Linked DNA regions of Canis lupus familiaris. The protein of the gene in region 1 binds, or shares a complex with, the protein of each later gene. Links are inferred from orthologs where the notes say so. Each region holds a gene or a part of one and is shown in the gene's direction. Other genes may lie near its edges.

Region 1 (5,959 bases):
ATATTTTTTTAATTTTTAAGTAATGTCTGCACCCAACATAGGGCTCTAACTCACAACCCCAAGATCAAGAGTCAACATGCTCTGCCAACTGAGCCAGCCAGGTGCCCCTGTGTTTTCTCAATTTATTTATTTTTTTTTTAATTTTTATTTATTTATGATAGTCACACAGAGAGAGAGAGAAAGAGAGAGGCAGAGACATAGGCAGAGGGAGAAGCAGGCTCCATGCACCGGTAGCCCGACGTGGGATTCGATCCCGGGTCTCCAGGATCGCGCCCTGGGCCAAAGGCAGGCGCCAAACCGCTGCGCCACCCAGGGATCCCTGTTTTCTCAATTTAAATATTCACTTTCATACCTGGTTTTCTATTCCTAAAGAGGGACCTCCAAATTTTATAGGCTTCAGTCCCCATAAAGCCATTATCCACTATTGGCCTTTCTTGTACCCTTTAAAGATGAGGAAACTGAGACACAGAAATATAAAGTGACTCACCCAATGTCACTAAGTGATGAAGCAGGATTTGTTTTTTGTTTTTTTAAGATTTTATTTATTTATTCATGAGAGAGACACAGAGAGAGAGAGAGAGAGAAAGAGAGGCAGAGACACAGGCAGAGGGAAAAGCAGGCTCCATGCAGGGAGCCTGACGTGGGACTCGATCGCTGGTCTCCAGGATCAGGTCCTGGGCTGAAAGCAGCACTAAACCACTGAGCCCCCCCGGCTGCCCGGATGAAGCAGGATTTGAAGCCAGGAAGTTTGACTCCAGAGTCCCCTTCCAGGGGAGGGGCACTGAGGACTCGGTGAGATGAAAAGAACTTTACAAATGTGGGGATTAAGATTATTCACAATTAGAATAAAAATGCACACTTGTCTGCTGGAGTTTAGGTTCCTCAGGCAGAGGAAAGGGAGGAGCAAAGTCCTCCTACTGTATGCCAGAAACTGCTTGGAATTTCACATCCAGGACTTCACTTTTTTATTGTCCCAGATTCCCAGATGAAGCTCCTGAGGCCTACAGGGATCAGCCCAAGGTCACACAACTGGAAAATGATAGAGCCAGGAGCAAGTGCCAGGGATGGTGACGGCTGCCCAATAGTGTGCTGGCAGAAGGCTTGCCAAGCTGGGTTTGCCAAGGTTCATGGACATGGCACAGCCCAGGACCTTCCCACCCTCTCTCACACCCCGTGCCCCACCATCCTGAGACAGATGCCCAGGACAGAGTTGCCATGTGGCTGGCGGCAGCGCAACATTTCTACCCAGATCGTAAGTAGGCAACATTGTTGACCAGGCAGCTGCAAGGTGGGGACCCAGGTAGCCACCAGCTCTGGGAAACAGGTCACACAGCTTGGGACTGCACCATCAGGAGAGTGGGTCCAGGGGAGCAAGTAAGGACTTTAGAGTCAGACAGATCTGGGCTCTGTCTCCTCTTACTGGTGTGACCTGTTGGGGCCAGGCGGGAAGGGAAACTCCTCAAGATGGCGGATACGCCAAAATGGCTGGGGTTCCTGTCACCACCTCCACTTGGGACGCCAATGGACCAATGACCTGCTGACAGCTTGAGCAGACCCTTACACCTCTCCTTTGGACTTCCCCAACCGAACCCAATGCCCTTCAAACCCCAGAGGAGGAAGTCACCTTTGACTGGTCGAATTGCAATCCTTCCTTTGCATAGTGAGGGTCACTCTGACTGGTTGGATTGCAATCCTTCCTTTGCATATGAGCCAACCAATAGGAAACCGTTCTGCCTTACAACGTTATGTAAACCCCCTACCACCTTGTCTTGGCGCGACTTCCTCGACTCACTCTCTTTCCCCCGTGAGTCGTGGAACCTCGCCCGAGGGTGCCTGCAATAAAATCTGTTCTTGGACCCTCGCTTGCCTTGGCGGTCTCATTTCCATCTAGTTACTAAAAAACTTAACATGACCTTGGGCAAGTCACTTCACCTCTTTCAGTTTCAAAAAGTAAGAATTTTGCCTCATGGGGAAGCTCTGAGTATTAGAATGGAAAGTGCCTAGCACACAGTAGGTGCTCAATAAATAGCAGCCAAACTTTATTCTCATTCTGTGAGGGCTTCTCAGCAGAGACAGCCTTTTGGGAACTTTAGAAATCCAGGCTAAGGAGAGAGAAGTTCTTAGGTACCTTATTTCTGGAGGGGCCCCAGAACTGAGTCGGGAGAGGGAGGCCTCCTGGCCTGCACAGTGGGCAAAGTCCTTCCAGCCCCCCAGGGTCCTGGCTCCGTTCCCGCAGCCTGTTCCTTACCAACAACAGGAGCAGAGCCCCAAGGTTAGGCAAACAAGTCCCTGATAAGGCACTTCCAGGTTGGGCCTTGCATTCAAGGCTCGTCCAGCTCCGGGGCTGGCCTCCCAGCTTAGCGCCAGTCTTGCAGGCACCAATAGGGACACCTGCAATGGCCACCTGCTGATTGTGCACCTGAGGCCTTGGTGCCTCGGTACAGCCTGGGTTAATGACCCTGTTTATCCACTTGAGTCATCTGATAAGGGGCAGCCGGGCCAGCGGGCAGGCAGCCTTGTGCCCTGCACAGGCTGCTTCATTGACTGAAGTGATATCAGGGCCACGTGGAACTCCCAAAGCCCCCTCCCCCGCCACTTCCCCACCAATCCTGCAGGGTCAGTGCGTGTTTTTTTTTTTCAATGAACATGACTTCTGGAGTCAAGGTTGTCAGGCCGTCCCTCCTGCCCCCACCCACCGTCCCTCCCACTGGGGGAATATAAATAGCACCCAGCACACAGCAGAGGGCAGAAGCGGGAGAGCTGGGAGGAAGAAGGAGCAGATCCCCAACCATGAGCTCCAGCCAGCCAGGGACCTGCCCGTGTCAGGGTGCTGCAGGCCGCCCAGCCATTCTCTATGCACTTCTGAGCCCCAGCCTCACGGCCAGGCCCCCAGTGCCCCCGGTTCAGAGTCGCTGCTTGTGCAGACAGCACCGGCCCGTCCGGCTGTGTGCCCCGCATCGCACCTGCCGGGAGGCCTTGGATGTTCTGGCCAGGACAGTAGTCTTCCTCAAGAACCTGCCGTCCTTCTGCCAGCTGCCCCCTCAAGATCAGCAGCTGCTGCTGCGGGTCTGCTGGGGCCCCCTCTTCCTGCTGGGGTTGGCCCAAGACACTGTGACTTTCGAGGTGGCTGAGGCGCCGGTTCCCAGCATACTCAAGAAGATCTTGCTGGAGGAGCCCAGTAGTGGTGCACACAGCGGCCAGCTGCCCGATCGGCCCCAGCCCTCACTGGCTGCCGTACAGTGGCTTCAGTGCTGCCTGGAGTCCTTCTGGAGCCTGGAGCTGGGCCCCAAGGAATACGCCTACCTGAAAGAGACCATCCTCTTCAATCCTGGTGAGCTTCCAGACATTCCTGGATGGGGACCCAGGCAGGGAAGGCATCTTCTAAGGGCTTGACACCCGTTTTCTCTTTGGGTCCTCATTATCCCCAAAAGTCACCTCCCAGAGAGGTTAAGTGTTTTGCTGAAGGTCACACAGCCTCGGTAGGGGCAAAGCAGGGATGGGAACTCAGGTTTATTCCCTCCAGAGACTGGTCCATGCCACTCTGCCTAAGAAACTTGCCCTGACTGTCAGGGAAGGTGAGCAGACACAACTCTGCCTCTGTCACAGGTAAAACCCTGTGGGTTCAGAAAGACCCCATGGAGAAGAATGAAAATGTGAGATGAGAATTCCTCATCAAAAAGCCCTCGTAGAATGCATAAATGATGGTAATTAATTATAGTGATAGTAATGAATATTCATATTACATTTACCATATATTAGGCCCAATTATAAGGGTTTTGAATATACTAGCTGACTTAAACTTCATAACATGCCTAGGAGATAGGTATTATTATCCCCATTTTACAGATGAGAAAACTGAGGCACAGATATTAACATATCTGAGGTCATACAGCCAGTGAGTGACAGCATGGGATTCAAACCCGGGCTGCCTGGCTCTTAACCATTACTCTGGGCTGCCCCATAAATGGATGGATAAATAAAGTGATAAACACATAAATGGAGGAGGTAGTAATGGGGCCTCAAAGGCCAAGCCAGTGACCTCCGGTCTTGGGCCAATATTGCTGCCTGGGAGTGGGGTACTCACCCGCCCTCTTCACCCTCTCTGCCCACAGGCTTGCCAGGCCTCCACGCCTCCTCCCACATCGGACACCTGCAGGAAGAGGCTCATCATGCGCTATGTGAGGCCCTGGAGCCCTGGTGCCCAGCAGGCCAAGGCCGCTTGGCCCGTGTCCTCCTCACAGCCTCCACCCTCAAGTCCATCCCGCCCAGCCTCCTTGGGGACCTCTTCTTCCGCCCTATTGTTGGAGACATTGACATCGCTGGCCTCCTTGAGGACATGCTTTTGTTGAGCCAACCTGTTCCAGCCCAGGCAGAGATCAAGTGGAGGTTGGGCAAAGGCTGGCAGCACTGATTTGGCCCAGCTGTCCCCAGGGCTACCTGTTGCCCCCAGAGGGAGCAAGTTTGTACAGGCAGCACTCAGCCTCCCTGGAACAAGCCTGTCCTGCCCCAGAGAGATGGGCTAGGGGCACCCCCCACCTCACTCACCACACGGCCCCCACTGGCCTTTCTTGGTTTGACATGGCGCTCCAGCTGTCTGGAACTGGAGTGGTCCTCTGGCTTCTGGGCTAAGACTCCTGACCCCTTCTGAGATGGGGATGGCAGTTAGGTTGCTCAATGGGACAAGTCCTACTGACTTTGTACAGAAATGATTTAAGTTATTGGTTTTTGTAATAAAAGGCATGATACCCTTGGAGCCTGACACTGTAATTTGTACATGGAAGGGACTGTCCCACCTCCAGGGCCCACTCTGCCACTATCAGGAGTTCAGGAGGAAGGAATCATAAGGAGTGCTGGAGCCAGCCCTCAGGGAACTGGGATATTAATTTTTCAGGGCAGGATGATTATTTCATCTTGAGGGATGAGATTTATTTTGCACAGGGACTAGGATCAGTTCAGGCCCCCTTACTTCCTTGCCTTTATCTTTAGGGCTGAGAGTGTCTCTTCTTGATCCCCTTGTGGGGATCGCTAACCCCTCTCTTGGCTTCTGAGCCATACAGGCTCCCTCTCACCTCAACAAAAGTCAGATCACAGCCAGTAAGGAATATGAAGCAGCCCATTCTCAAATTTAAACAGGCAAGGTCAAGGTCACGGGAATTTCTGCAGTTTGGGATCATTCACTTGCCCATTCCTGCAGATGACAGTAGAAGACAGTCCACTGCTGTCCCAATGGGAGGGGCAAGGGAACCCAGGGCTGGCCCCACACAGCTGCCTGGAGCCCAAGGCCCACTGAGGTCTAGCTACCACAATGGCTGTTAAGAGTCTGAGACTCTTCCATGGTAGTTGGTTCACAGCGACTGCCCTGAGTCCCCCCAAGTCCCCTCCCATGGCCTCTCTGTCCCGGCCCTTCACCTGGAATCCATCCTCATTGGCCAACACCTAGAGAGGTGATGGCTGGTATAGCCATGGCCTCCAGCACTGCTCCATTCAGAGCATGGCTGGTGTCTGTTCTGATTGGTCAATGTCTGTGGCTCACTGTTTGTTAAATATTTTGAATATCACACAGGTTCGGGTGACTGACCTGTAAGCAGCAGGGAATGATAACGACACACATGCCTATAGGATCCCCCAGCAAGCCTCCCCCTTCCTTTAGCAATAAGGCTTGTCCTTACCAGTCCCACCCCCTTTGCCATCAGTTTGGATTCTCTTCATGGGGCCAAGTTAATTATTGCTTAATGAGAGGTCATTCGCTCAGGAACAACAGTTGAAGAGCTGCCATTCAGGCCTCTCCCGAAGGCCCCCAGGATAGGACCACAGTTGAACCAGCCATATGCCCATTATGGGCACCCAGTGCCAGCAGAAAGGGCAACCCTGTCCCTTAACCAATCACCTGCTCACCACTCAGACACCCAGAGTGACAGAAACATACAGCTCACACCCCACAACAAAGACACACAACTCA
Region 2 (5,654 bases), on another chromosome or scaffold:
TACAGCACCTGGGAAACCGAAAGGTGCCCGGGTCTTGCACAGCGGCGAGTGCCCAGCCAGCCCCCCGGACTCTGTCTTTGTCCCAGAGGGTCCCCCGCCTCCAGGCCCGGTCCTTTTGGGGGTTGGATCCCCGCGGTGGGCACCACATCCTCCTGCACACGTTTGCCTCGCTGTGCCCCGTAGGTGCGAAGTTAGGAGTTTACTTTGTTGGGCGAAGGGGGAATAGAAAAGGACACAGAGTGCAGTTTTTCCCCCCAAGCCTAACACACGCAAGTTTGGGGGAGAGCTGGGGCTGCTCACCGAGTTCTGGAACCCTCAGCTCCTCCAAGCCCCGAGCTGCGCCAGCCCCAGGCGCGACCTCGTAGGGCAGGCTCGGCCGGGAGGACCGCGCCCAGCATCCCCGCACTTGCCTCGTTCGGAGCCCCAAGCGCCTGCTTCCACCGCAACATCTTTCACGGGGGACCCCTCCCCGTGTCCCCAAACTCGGGCTCACTCACGCGGGGTGAAGCCCCAGGCCAGGGCTCCGCGTCTCGGGAAGAGGCGTCTGGACTCGGCCGGTCGGTGCGCGACCTCAGCCTCCCGGTGGTGCCGGTGACCTCGCCTCCCCCGGGGCCCCTTCCGGAGGCCTGCAGAATCCATGAAGTGAAAAAGAACTTTATTATTATTTAAAGAAAAAAAGAAAAAAGGCACAGAAAAAGAAGGCGTCCTGGGCAAAGAGGCCGCATTACGGTGATGGAGTGGCCGGGAACTTCGGGGATGCGGTGGGGGCCACTTCTCTCTTTCCTTTTTGGTAAACAAATCAGAGGAAACTTCTGTCCGGCCGTCGGCTCCCCCTCCCCCCGGCCCCCCTCCGCCCCGCCCCCTGCAAATGCCACTGATTAACTTAAGCTGGGCCGTGCGTGTGTGCCTGTGTGTCGCCGAGCGAGGAGCGAGGGGCGAGAGGCGAGTGCACCCCGGGCTTCGCGGGACGGTGGCGGGGCGCGCGGACCTGCCCCAAGCCGCAGGTGCCTGCCGTCCGCGCTCCCAGACGGGGCCCCCGTGGGTCCCAGGAAGGGAATGGGGCGGGTGTTGGCCTGGGGTCTCCCGGCCACTGTCCTGGCCGCGCGGCTTACCCATCTTTCAGCTGCAAGGGCGCCTTGGCAGGGCTGCGTCCGGCGGAAGGCGGGCGCTGGGTCCCCTCCGCGGGCCGCGCGCGCGTCCGGAGGCCCCACCGCTGCGTAGCAGGGGTCTCGAGGTGTCGCCGGTTTGCACTGCTGATCCGCACCGTGGGAACTCTATCGCAGGGCCTGACTTGAGGGCGACGCAGGACCTGTCTACTTTGCACCAGACCCTCCTGTGCATCCTTCTCTTTTTTTCTCTGTCTTCCGGGCGCCCTCCCTTCTTCTCCTCCTTTATCATTATCCTTTTTTACAGATTTTCAAATGTGGAGAGATGAAAGTATGCAGAACAGCAGCCCTGTCCATGCGGAGCTGAAGGTTTCAATTAATCCAGCAGATTGGAACGTAGGGAGCGGCGGGCTGTGGTTCCAGGGCGGCCGCTGCAGGGAGGCAGGCGCCCGGGGCTTCAGGGCGCGCGGCGAGGCTTTGCAGGTCGCAGCCGCGGGCCTGCTGAGCCAGGGCTGGCAGCCTCGGACCCCCCCGCAGGGCCGGAGCGGGTGTGCCCGTTTCCCTCCTCCGGGCGCGGGGGACACTTTGGGGTCTTGACTTCAGGAGGCTTTAAGGGGAGTTCCAGGTTGTTCCCTTTCTGCCTTTTCGCGTTTCCACCCTGATTTGCTGCCTGGGGCGGTTGTGAAAGAAGGCGTTCCACAGTGGTCAGTTTGAAATTCTTAACAACAGAAGTTGGAATTCTTTTTAAGTTTAAAAAAAAAAAAAAAAAAAAACAAAAAGAGAGAGAAGGAAGTGAAGTGCACGCTGGTGGAGTCCAAAAGATGTTTTATGTTCATTGCATAAAAATAGTTTTTCAGGGTGCCTAGGTGTTTTAAAAATATGTGTTTTTTATTTTATATTGTACCTGGGATGTTTGCCCACCAGTTAATTAACCAAAATGCTTTCTCACTGCAGGATTAAAACCTACCTAGTGAATTAATTAGCTATGTGTATACATTTCTTTTGTTTCAGTGTCTCAGTTTAAAATGGTGAATTACTCTTACGATGAAGATCTTGAAGAGCTCTGTCCGGTGTGTGGAGATAAAGTGTCTGGATACCATTATGGGCTCCTCACCTGTGAAAGCTGCAAGGTTTGCTTACACGTTGCTATGTGACAAATAGAAGGTTCAAAACCAAAATAAACCATTGGATTACTTTTTAGACCTAAATTTAGGCTGTCTTTTTTTGGACTCAATTAAAAATGAGAGAAAGAGTTAGTCTTAGGGAGATGATGTTTTGAAATATGTGTTTGATTTAATTCCAAAGGCAAAAAAAAAAAAATGTATGCTGTTTAGAAAACTTTGCCAGTCTCGTGGCTTTAAAATATTTTATGGTAGTAAAGTGATGTATCTGTAGAAAGACTTCTCTTTCTAACAGTCCTAAATATTGATTTTGCTTGACTTATATATATTTAAAGCACCGTTGTTCTTGAGAGGGAACATGACAAAGTATTTCCTAAATATATTTTAACTTCAGGGTATTCTGTGCTGCGAGTCTAAACATTTTTTATCCACAGATAAAAGTCTAAATTCTCAACCGTGTGATTTTTATCCTGATTTATTCCAAAAACAGTTTTTAAGATTTTTTGAAATTATATCATAAAGAATAAGAATCCACATCTCAGTTTATAGTAAGAGTGGCTTTCATAAATAAATTATATGACCTATTTAAATGCAAGAAGTTTTAACATGTAAAATGTACTTATATTGTTCATAATAATCTCAACCATAGATCAAGAATTTATCTTAGATCTTTTTGATATATTCCCAGTCAACTTGATACTTGGTATTTCTCAACATTTTTTAAAGTAGAAAGCTCAATTACAAATACTTAAACCATCGCCAGGAAAAATCCCTTCATTCTCTGTAACAAAGTAAGATCGTTTCACTTTATGGCTAGTAGGATAAACATAAAGAATGTACCATCCTGGTAAAGCTGTTATTGTATTATGAAGCTAACAAAATTTGTTTTTGATAAATTCTTTTGGGTGCAATACAAGAAAAGCACACTGCTAAAATTTAGCTCTCTGCTACACATGCTTTTCTTTGCCATTAGTTTCAACTTTTTTTTTTTTTTTACAGAGTTACAACTTGAATGTATTCCAATGGAATTATGAACACTTTCCCATTTTACTCTTTAAATCTTTTTGCTTTTAACATATCTAGTGCTGACATTTGTAAAAAAAAAAAAAAAAAAAAAAAAATCTGGGGTGTTTTGCTATTCAGATTTTCCACTGGCATTTTACAATGGTTTGCCACTAAAATTCTATCACACTGCTTACAAACAGTACAGATCTCCATGAGCAACTTTCTGGAATATGAAGTTAATAAGAAAACAGATTTAAAAAGATACTGGTTAATATAGAATGTGTTTTTCTCTGACTGTTGAGATGAAATGGTATGTATCCAAATCTTCCTAAGATTTGTTGTAATTCTAGGAATATAACTCCAGTACTAGAAAAATCTCCACTTTGGCCCAGTGCTGTTTTGGAGGGTTGGTCTTGTTAAAGTGTAAGACAAACCACAGAGCCACGGAAGGGCTCATTGGTTCAATGAAAAGATTTATTGGTGATTTCCTTAAAATGAAACAATGGAAGAGACGGTGTTAGATTTATAATATGTCTCACTATTTTCTCTGTTTTGTAGGGATTTTTTAAGCGAACAGTCCAAAATAATAAAAGGTACACATGTATAGAAAACCAGAACTGCCAAATTGATAAAACACAGAGAAAGCGTTGTCCTTACTGTCGATTTCAAAAATGTCTAAGTGTTGGAATGAAACTAGAAGGTAAGTTTCTTCCAAAGACTACTGCCTGTTAAAATTCTCCAAGGACATAGGATTTAAAATAACATTGTACTTCCAATATGGTAACATTATTTTCCTAGTCTTTTAACACCATGGACAATAATGTAAGATATTTTTTTATGTTTTGTCAGCAGAACAGTCTGAGGATCATTTAAACACTGGTGAAGTCTACTAGGAAAAAAACTTATAAATATTGGAGTTTCCCTTCCCCCACCTTTAAAAAATTTTTAGTTTGGGGAGCAGATGGATTTGACACTAAAAAGGCCTGGTTAGGGATCCCTGGGTGGCTCAGCGGTTGAGCGCCTGCCTTCGGCCCAGGGTGTGATCCTGGAGTCCCAGGATCGAGTCCCACATCGGTCTCCCTGCATGTAGCCTGCTTCTCCGCCTCTCTCTGTCTCTCTGTGTCTTTCATGAATAAATGAATAAAATCTTTAAAAAAATAAAAAGGCCTGGTTAGATAAAAACAAGACTAAAGCTATTCAACTGAGAACAAATTTTTAAAATTTGCAAAACTTAAAAAAAAATACGTGACGTTTTCAAACCAAGGATGTTCTAGTAAAAAATCTAGTAGAAGTCTGATTTTAATCCTTTAAATTCTTCCCTTGTCACAATTGTTACTATTAATTTCATGACTCCTGGGCAAGAATTACAGCCTTTCATTGTGAAATGGAGTCTCTTGTGTGGAGAGTATCATTTTTGATAATGTGGGAAAACACGTTTCTTTTATTTTTTTTTTTTAAGATAATGACGAAAGCTGCAAAATGAAGTTGAAAAGTAGGAAACATGAAAAATAATGAGCTATTAAATCAGTAACATTGGTTTGACAGGAATAAGATAGTGGTTCCCCAAAAGCCATGTTAAATTTTATGTTGTGAGAGTAGAACTGGTACTTACAATGTACAGATTGGCAGGGAGTAAAGTTATTATGTGATCACTGTAAATAATCTGTAGTTCATGGACTATTATGGTGTGTTGCTGTTTTTTAGCCTCCAGCCTACTGACTTTCCACAGATCAACTCTAGTGCAAATAAAAAATAATCAAGGATACACATCACTTATTTGCCACATACAAGCGTGCATTTTATTTGATCATTGAGGCACAGGCTATTTTTGTTTGGAGCCTTCCTGTTATGTGGCTCTCAGACTTGATAGAAATGCTCAAAAGATTTCCGGCAAATCTGCCGAAGTGCTTGTAGATTCTTTCCCAATATAAGTAGCCACTTTGGTTATGATTAGAACTGTTAACTCTGTCTTGCTTTAGGAAGAGATTGAGAACAAGATCAAGAAAGAAATGCTCATTAATTTCTTTATTACCAATCACTTTATTATTTTCCAAACAGCCAAATATTGTGGGAGATGCATACTATAGTAGGAGACTCAAAAGGTAAAATGTCAAAGAATAAATATGGGATGCCTGGATGCCTCAGTGGGTAGAGCATGGGTCTCTTGATCTCACCGAGTTGTGAGTTCAAGCCCCACACTGGGCAGGGAGCCTACTGAAAAAAACAACACACACACAAGTAAATGTTGTGGTTTCAAATGGTGTCTCACTTGATTATTTCTTCTTCTTCTTCTTCTTCTTCTTCTTCTTCTTTTTTTAATGAGGGGAAAGGGTTGCATTTCTTTACCTTAAAAAGTATTAGTAATTGTAAGTCACTTGTGGGGCATAACTATAAACTATACTTCCTTAGCAGTAATATGGAA
Region 3 (5,654 bases), on another chromosome or scaffold:
TCCTTCACTTTCTCTGGGCAGTAGATTTTCATTTAAAAAATAGCAGTTTAAAAAAAAAAATAGCAGTTTGGGCCAGGGGCATGATCCCTGAGGGCCGTTTAGGCTCTGGCATCCCATGGTCCTGAGTCCCACTCACCATTGTCACGAGTGTCCATTCTTGCCATGCTAGTGACCCTCCAGGGTGGAAGGACACCCCACACAGAGGCAGTCCCTGTCCTTGCACTGGGTGCCCTGACTACAGCCTGGGTATTCAGAACCCGCCTCTTTCTTTGTTTTGTTTCTGCTTCAGACGAACCATTGCCAGCCACCTGCTCATTCTGGGTTGGACCACAGGCCAGGAGGGCCCTCCTTTCTTTCCATGAGCCTGAAAGCTCTGTATAAGGCCCAGGGGAAGCCCTGTGTTTGCTCTTCATGACTTGTTTTTTGAGCTATTGAGGCTGCTGGAGATGTGACTACAGGCCAAATGAGCATAAGATTAAAATTAATAATAATCTTCCCTCACATTTAATTTTTTTTTTTAATTTATGATAGTTACAGAGAGAGAGAGAGAGAGGCAGAGACACAGGCAGAGGGAGAAGCAGGCTCCATGCACCGGGAGCCCGACGTGGGATTCGATCCCGGGTCTCCAGGATCGCGTCCTGGGCCAAAGGCAGGCTCCAAACCGCTGCGCCACCCAGGGATCCCTCTTCCCTCACATTTAAAGGAGTTCTTCACAAACTACTTCCATGAACATTATCCACTAATATTTATCAAGTGCTCAGTATGTGCCAAACCCCCTTCTGATGCTTTGCCCCCTCCACAGAGGAGAAAACCGAGGCTCAGAAGGCTTTAGAAATTGCTTCAGGTCACACAGCTTGTCGGAGGAGAGCGAGGGCCCGAAGCCAAGCCTGGCTGAGTTCTGAGCACTTCCACTGGATCTTTTCTTTCTATCTATCTATTTATTTACTTGATCTCTGCTACACTTTGACAAAGTAGGCAGATAGGCAAAAAGGGCATCAAGAGGTGAAGTGGTGGGATCCCTGGGTGGCGCAGCGGTTTGGCGCCTGCCTTTGGCCCAGGGCGCGATCCTGGAGACCCGGGATCGAATCCCACGTCGGGCTCCCGGTGCGTGGAGCCTGCTTCTCCCTCTGCCTGTGTCTCTGCCTCTCTCTCTCTCTCTCTCTCTCTCTGTGCCTATCATAAATTAAAAAAAACAAAAGGAGGTGAAGTGGCTTGCTCAGGTCACATATCCAAGTGAGCCTCTGAATCGTGAGTTGGGAGAGGGACGGACCTGGCTGGATCCCGGACCCACACATGCCTCTTCCCTCCAGGTGGCTGACCAGATGACACTGCTGCAGAACTGCTGGAGTGAGCTGCTGGTGTTTGACCACATCTACCGCCAGATCCAACATGGCAAGGATGGCAGCATCCTGCTGGTCACCGGGCAGGAGGTGACCAGACCCTATTGTGCCCTGTGCCTTGTCCTAAAGCATATTTCCAGAATTCTGAGCCCAGAATTGGGGGCTGGCTCAGCCCTTCCTCAATTGCCTGACCTCCCTCTGACCAGCTGAGTTCCTGGCCTTGACAGGAACCAGCCCCTGGGAAGCAGCTTAGGGATGTGGGGAGGGTCAGTGAGGCTCTTGAAGAAGGTGGGGGGTCTTGAAAGAACAAATAGGAGTTGGTCAGGTAGTAAAAGGTAGTAAAAGGGGGGGGGCAGTTCCACCCCACCAGAGCAGAGGGGACAACATGGGTGAAGGTGCACAGGGTGTTTAGGACAGCACCAGGGGCTGCTGGTACATGGGCACTAATATGTAGATTTGGGGGGCCAGGAGCCCTGTGAGGTAAGAAGGAAGGCTGGAGGTAGGCCCTAAATCCTGAATGAATAAAGGAGCAAGTGAAGGAATTTGCACCCCCCAGCAGGGAATTTGGGGCACTAGGATACGAGCTGGGAACTCCTGGGATCAAGCAGGGAGCAACAGTAGCTTTAAGTGAGGAAAGGCTCACTCAGGTTGTACTTGAGGAAGCACACCATGGGGGCAAAATGGGGGGTGAAGAAGTCAAGGCCACGGTGGAATGCTGGGAACCTGGGAGAAGGACCCCCAACTGGTGGGAGGAGGTGTGGGAGACATGGAGGGGAGGAGGGAGAAAAAGAAGAGGCTGATGCCAGGGTCGAGGCTGGTGGAAGGAGCATCGCTCCCAAGGGGGAGTCACGAGGAAGAGTGGTTGGCAGGCCCTGTGGGGGTGGAGGTTGGAGGCCGAGGCCCTGCTCCCCATCCCGTCTCCAACCCGGGCCCTTGGTCCTCATGCTCAGTTCTTATCTTGGGGGTCTCAGGACATCCAGGGCAGGGGACTGCTGGTCTCCAGGGTGTGACTTGGAGACCACCTGTGAATGCAGATAGGAGAGCCTGAGGTATGAAAGCGTGTTGGTATTGGCCTATGTCATCACGCAGGCTGGAGTCTCCGAGACCATGGGGATGTCCTGTGTGTGTGTGTGTGTGTGTGTGTGCACGTGCATACCTGTATTTTATTGTACAGATATCTCCACACATTGTAAGTGTGTGGTGGTGAGATCTCCCTGCCACCTTGTGTGGGAACTCATACATGGGTGCCTGTCCCATTACCTTGTGATATGACCATATGAGGGCGTGTGTGTACGTGCGTTCACGTTATGAAATGGGTGGACTGCCCTATGAGTGTGTGTGAATGTGAGCCGAGGTGTGACCGCATCCTCAGTCTGAGTGTCCACGTGTGGGTGTGTGGGGACCTGGGCAGTCATGTGGCTGTGTCCATGTATGTCCAGGCACACCTGCCCCGACCCTGCTCCACAACACCCAGCATGACGTGGTGTTTGCTCCCTGTACCACACAAAATGCAAAAGCCACTTGTACCACCGAGCATAAGGAGCTCTGAGCATGTGGGGCCCATGCTGTGGGGTTTGGAGGGTTTCTGGGGTGTGAGGAGATGCTGCCCCCATCTGGCGCAGCTCCAAGGATGGGCACCCCAACCCCCAGCCCCTGACCCCCCCACTCCGGGCCCTCTGCTGGGTGCTCCCTGACCCTGACATCCGCCTGTGCAGGTGGAGATGAGCACGGTGGCGGCCCAGGCGGGCTCCCTGCTGCACAGCCTGGTCCTGCGGGCGCAGGAGCTGGTGCTGCAGCTGCACGCTCTGCAGCTGGACCGCCAGGAGTTTGTCTGCCTCAAATTCCTCATCCTCTTCAGCCTCGGTGAGTGGGCCTGGCCCGGCCTGGGGCGGCGAGGGGGCAAGGTGGGTGGCGGGCCCGGCACCCAGAGGCTGACGTGAGGTTCTGCCCTAGGGTGGGGGCTTTGGTGGCGCAGGGACCCCTCCTACGATGAGTAAGGGTCTAAAGGGACCTGGCCCAGGCCTGGCTCTTCAAATGGAAGCTGTTTCCTCTCGGGGCCTCAGTTTCTCGGTTTGGGAGTACAGACGACCAAGACAGTGCCTAAGATTTGCCCTTTGTGGGACAAGGACTCCTGATAATTTGGTCAATTCCTGGCTGGAAGCCCTAAAAGAGCGCCCAGGCCACCTCTAGACAGACACCTGTGGGGTTTCAGGCTCTCTGTTCCCTGGCTCCTATCCTGGGGGCCTTGTTTTCCCGGTTCCCTGCTTGAGGAGATGGTGGGGGGGGGCCCAGAACCTTTACCCATTCATTTGTTCACTCACTCATGTATTCACTCTACAACCTCTTACTGAGCATCTGTGCTCTGCAAGGCCCTAGAGACACAAGGCAAACAGGATAAGTCCCACACCTGGATTGTCATGGAGCTGACCTTCTCTCAGGAGAAAGACAAGCATGATGTCATTAGTCGGCTATAGAGATGGATGAAATGATTACCGACACGCATGGCCTAGAATCCTGTGATGAGTGCTAAAGAGGAAAGTAACCCAGGGAGGTGGCAGCCCCCGAGCCGGGGGTCTCCCTCTCATTGCCCTCCTGACCCCGCAGCCTCCACCCTCCTCGGGGCTCTCCCCGGCCGGCCTCCTGTCCTCCCTCACCTAGCAAGCCACCTCCGGTGCCTCCTGGCTGTGTCCAGCAACGCTGTGAACACAGACGAGCCCCTGCTGTCAGGTGGCTCCCAGCCCAGTAGAGGCCTTCATCAGGGGCGGGGACAGAGAGATGGGGAACCCAGAGTGGGGAGCAAGGGCTCTGCCTGGAAGGCTTCCTGGAAGAGGGAATTTTGAATGGGGTCTTGGAAGAGGAGTAGGAGTTTGCGGGAGGGATATATCTTCCAGCAGAAGTGCGGATGGGATGGAAGGTCAGAACAGGGGGCAGGATTCAGATGTCATCTTGGTGGCTGCTGACATCATAGCCCCAGTCTGGCAAGGGAGTGCCTGCCCAAGGGTGGGGAGAGCTGGGCAGAGAGGGGTAACTGATGAAGTGTGGCTTGTGGGAAGCCCAGTCCTCGGGCTATGGCCACAGGGGCTGGTCTCCTGACTCTGGCCCCGCAGCCTGGTAGCTGGAGGGCTTCTGTGCAAGGCTGCAGGGCTTGGTAGGGGACAACCATGGTGCGGGGCGGGGGCAGAATCCAGGGCAGCCAGTTAGGAGCGGTGGCCTGGAGCCTGTGGAGGGGCCTCGGGGGCCCGGGCCAGGCTGGCTGCAGCTGGGGGAGATGCCGTTCCTTCTGGCCTCTGGTGGCTCCCCTGGTCTTTGTGAGCTGCCAAGCTCTGGGAACTGGCTTTGGCCAGTGGTTGTGTGCGGTTTGGGGTGTGGAGACTCCAGGAGTTCTGTGAATCTTTGTGCCTTTGCGTCGGTGCCTTTGTTTTCACGCACGTGCAGGCTATGAACTCTCATGGGCTGGCGGCTTCTTACACATCGTGTTGTATAAAGGATCTGTAATCGGAGAGTTAGAGGAGATTTGGAGATAGGAGAGATTTGGAGCGCGTATAGAATTAGGAGTGTGGTGTCTGTGGTGGTCTGGGTGATGTGTGAAGCAATAGTTCTTGACCCGACCACCATCAAGAGGCCTTCAGGAGGTCTAGAGGAGGGGTGGGTGGATGGTGGGCTGCCAGCCACCAGTCTTCTTGGCCAGGCCTCCCTGTGAAGCGGGTGCCAGGTCTTGGCTTTCCAGACCCCCCTAGGGCCCGAGGCATACCCCTGCAGCCCCCGCCTCTCTTCCCAACAGGGTCCCGGGTGCTGGGGACTGCCAGGGTCAGCACACCTCTGGCCCTCACCAGGCCATAAATCCAGGGCTCCTCCTTGTATGGAGTGTAAGGACGGCAAAGCAGAGCCCGGCCCTCTTCTCCCGGTCTGGCCAGGGTGAGTGGCCACGCTCAAAAGCCTGAGTGCCGGCCCCTCCTTCTCACTAGTCTTCATTATGTTCTCCAGAGTGGGCAGCTGGGGGCCTGAGGCAGGGGCTATCTCCAGTGCTTGGCTGGCATAGGCTGGAGGGTGGGATGCAGGAGGGAGAGTGAGCATGTATGTATGCATGTGTGTACACCTGCGAGGCAGGGCGGAACAGTAGTCAGGAATGCGGACTAGGGATGGACCACCTGGATTCTAAATCTGGACTGTGTGTCCTAGAGCAAGTCCCTCCCCTCTCTCCAAGAGCCTCTATTTTCCCATCTGGAAGATGATCATCAAAATAATCCTTAGTTTGCTATGAGGATTTCATGAGGGAATCCCCCCGGTGTCAGTGTGGGGCCTGGCCTCTTGGAA

The links. The genes of interacting proteins can lie anywhere in the genome.
Region 2: the proteins of NR0B2 (region 1) and NR5A2 are in contact, whole or in part, in a crystal structure (PDB 1YUC), measured with the Homo sapiens proteins. The link is inferred for Canis lupus familiaris from reciprocal best matches to the Homo sapiens genes NR0B2 and NR5A2. Residues at the interface, in NP_068804.1 of Homo sapiens: Arg17, Pro18, Ala19, Ile20, Leu21, Tyr22, Leu24, Leu25, Ser26, Ser27, Ser28; in NP_995582.1 of Homo sapiens: Phe354, Val357, Arg361, Phe366, Val371, Asp372, Gln374, Met375, Leu378, Gln379, Asn529, Asn530, Leu531, Glu534, Met535.
Region 3: the proteins of NR0B2 (region 1) and NR5A1 are in contact, whole or in part, in a crystal structure (PDB 1YMT), measured with the Mus musculus proteins. The link is inferred for Canis lupus familiaris from reciprocal best matches to the Homo sapiens genes NR0B2 and NR5A1. Residues at the interface, in NP_035980.1 of Mus musculus: Thr19, Ile20, Leu21, Tyr22, Leu24, Leu25, Ser26; in NP_001303616.1 of Mus musculus: Ile275, Val278, Arg282, Phe287, Val292, Gln295, Met296, Leu299, Gln300, Asn450, Leu452, Glu455, Met456.

What each region holds. Positions count from the first base shown.
Region 1 is NC_049223.1:72,629,173-72,635,131, forward strand, and holds NR0B2 (nuclear receptor subfamily 0 group B member 2), read left to right. Parts: upstream 1-2,728; 5' UTR 2,729-2,790; coding exon 2,791-3,331; intron 3,332-4,112; coding exon 4,113-4,411; 3' UTR 4,412-4,753; downstream 4,754-5,959. UniProt on the Homo sapiens protein: Transcriptional regulator that acts as a negative regulator of receptor-dependent signaling pathways. Specifically inhibits transactivation of the nuclear receptor with which it interacts.
Region 2 is NC_049228.1:2,806,537-2,812,190, reverse strand, and holds part of NR5A2 (nuclear receptor subfamily 5 group A member 2), read left to right. Parts: intron 1-900; exon of another isoform or gene 901-1,004; intron 1,005-2,117; coding exon 2,118-2,236; intron 2,237-3,790; coding exon 3,791-3,932; intron 3,933-5,654. UniProt on the Homo sapiens protein: Orphan nuclear receptor that binds DNA as a monomer to the 5'-TCAAGGCCA-3' sequence and controls expression of target genes: regulates key biological processes, such as early embryonic development, cholesterol and bile acid synthesis pathways, as well as liver and pancreas morphogenesis.
Region 3 is NC_049230.1:58,557,618-58,563,271, forward strand, and holds part of NR5A1 (steroidogenic factor 1), read left to right. Parts: intron 1-1,310; coding exon 1,311-1,430; intron 1,431-3,042; exon of another isoform or gene 3,043-3,055; coding exon 3,056-3,203; exon of another isoform or gene 3,204-4,776; coding exon of another isoform or gene 4,777-4,829; intron 4,830-5,170; coding exon of another isoform or gene 5,171-5,380; intron 5,381-5,654. Other genes in the region: uncharacterized protein LOC102151918, read right to left, coding at 4,777-4,829, 5,171-5,380. UniProt on the Homo sapiens protein: Transcriptional activator. Essential for sexual differentiation and formation of the primary steroidogenic tissues. Binds to the Ad4 site found in the promoter region of steroidogenic P450 genes such as CYP11A, CYP11B and CYP21B.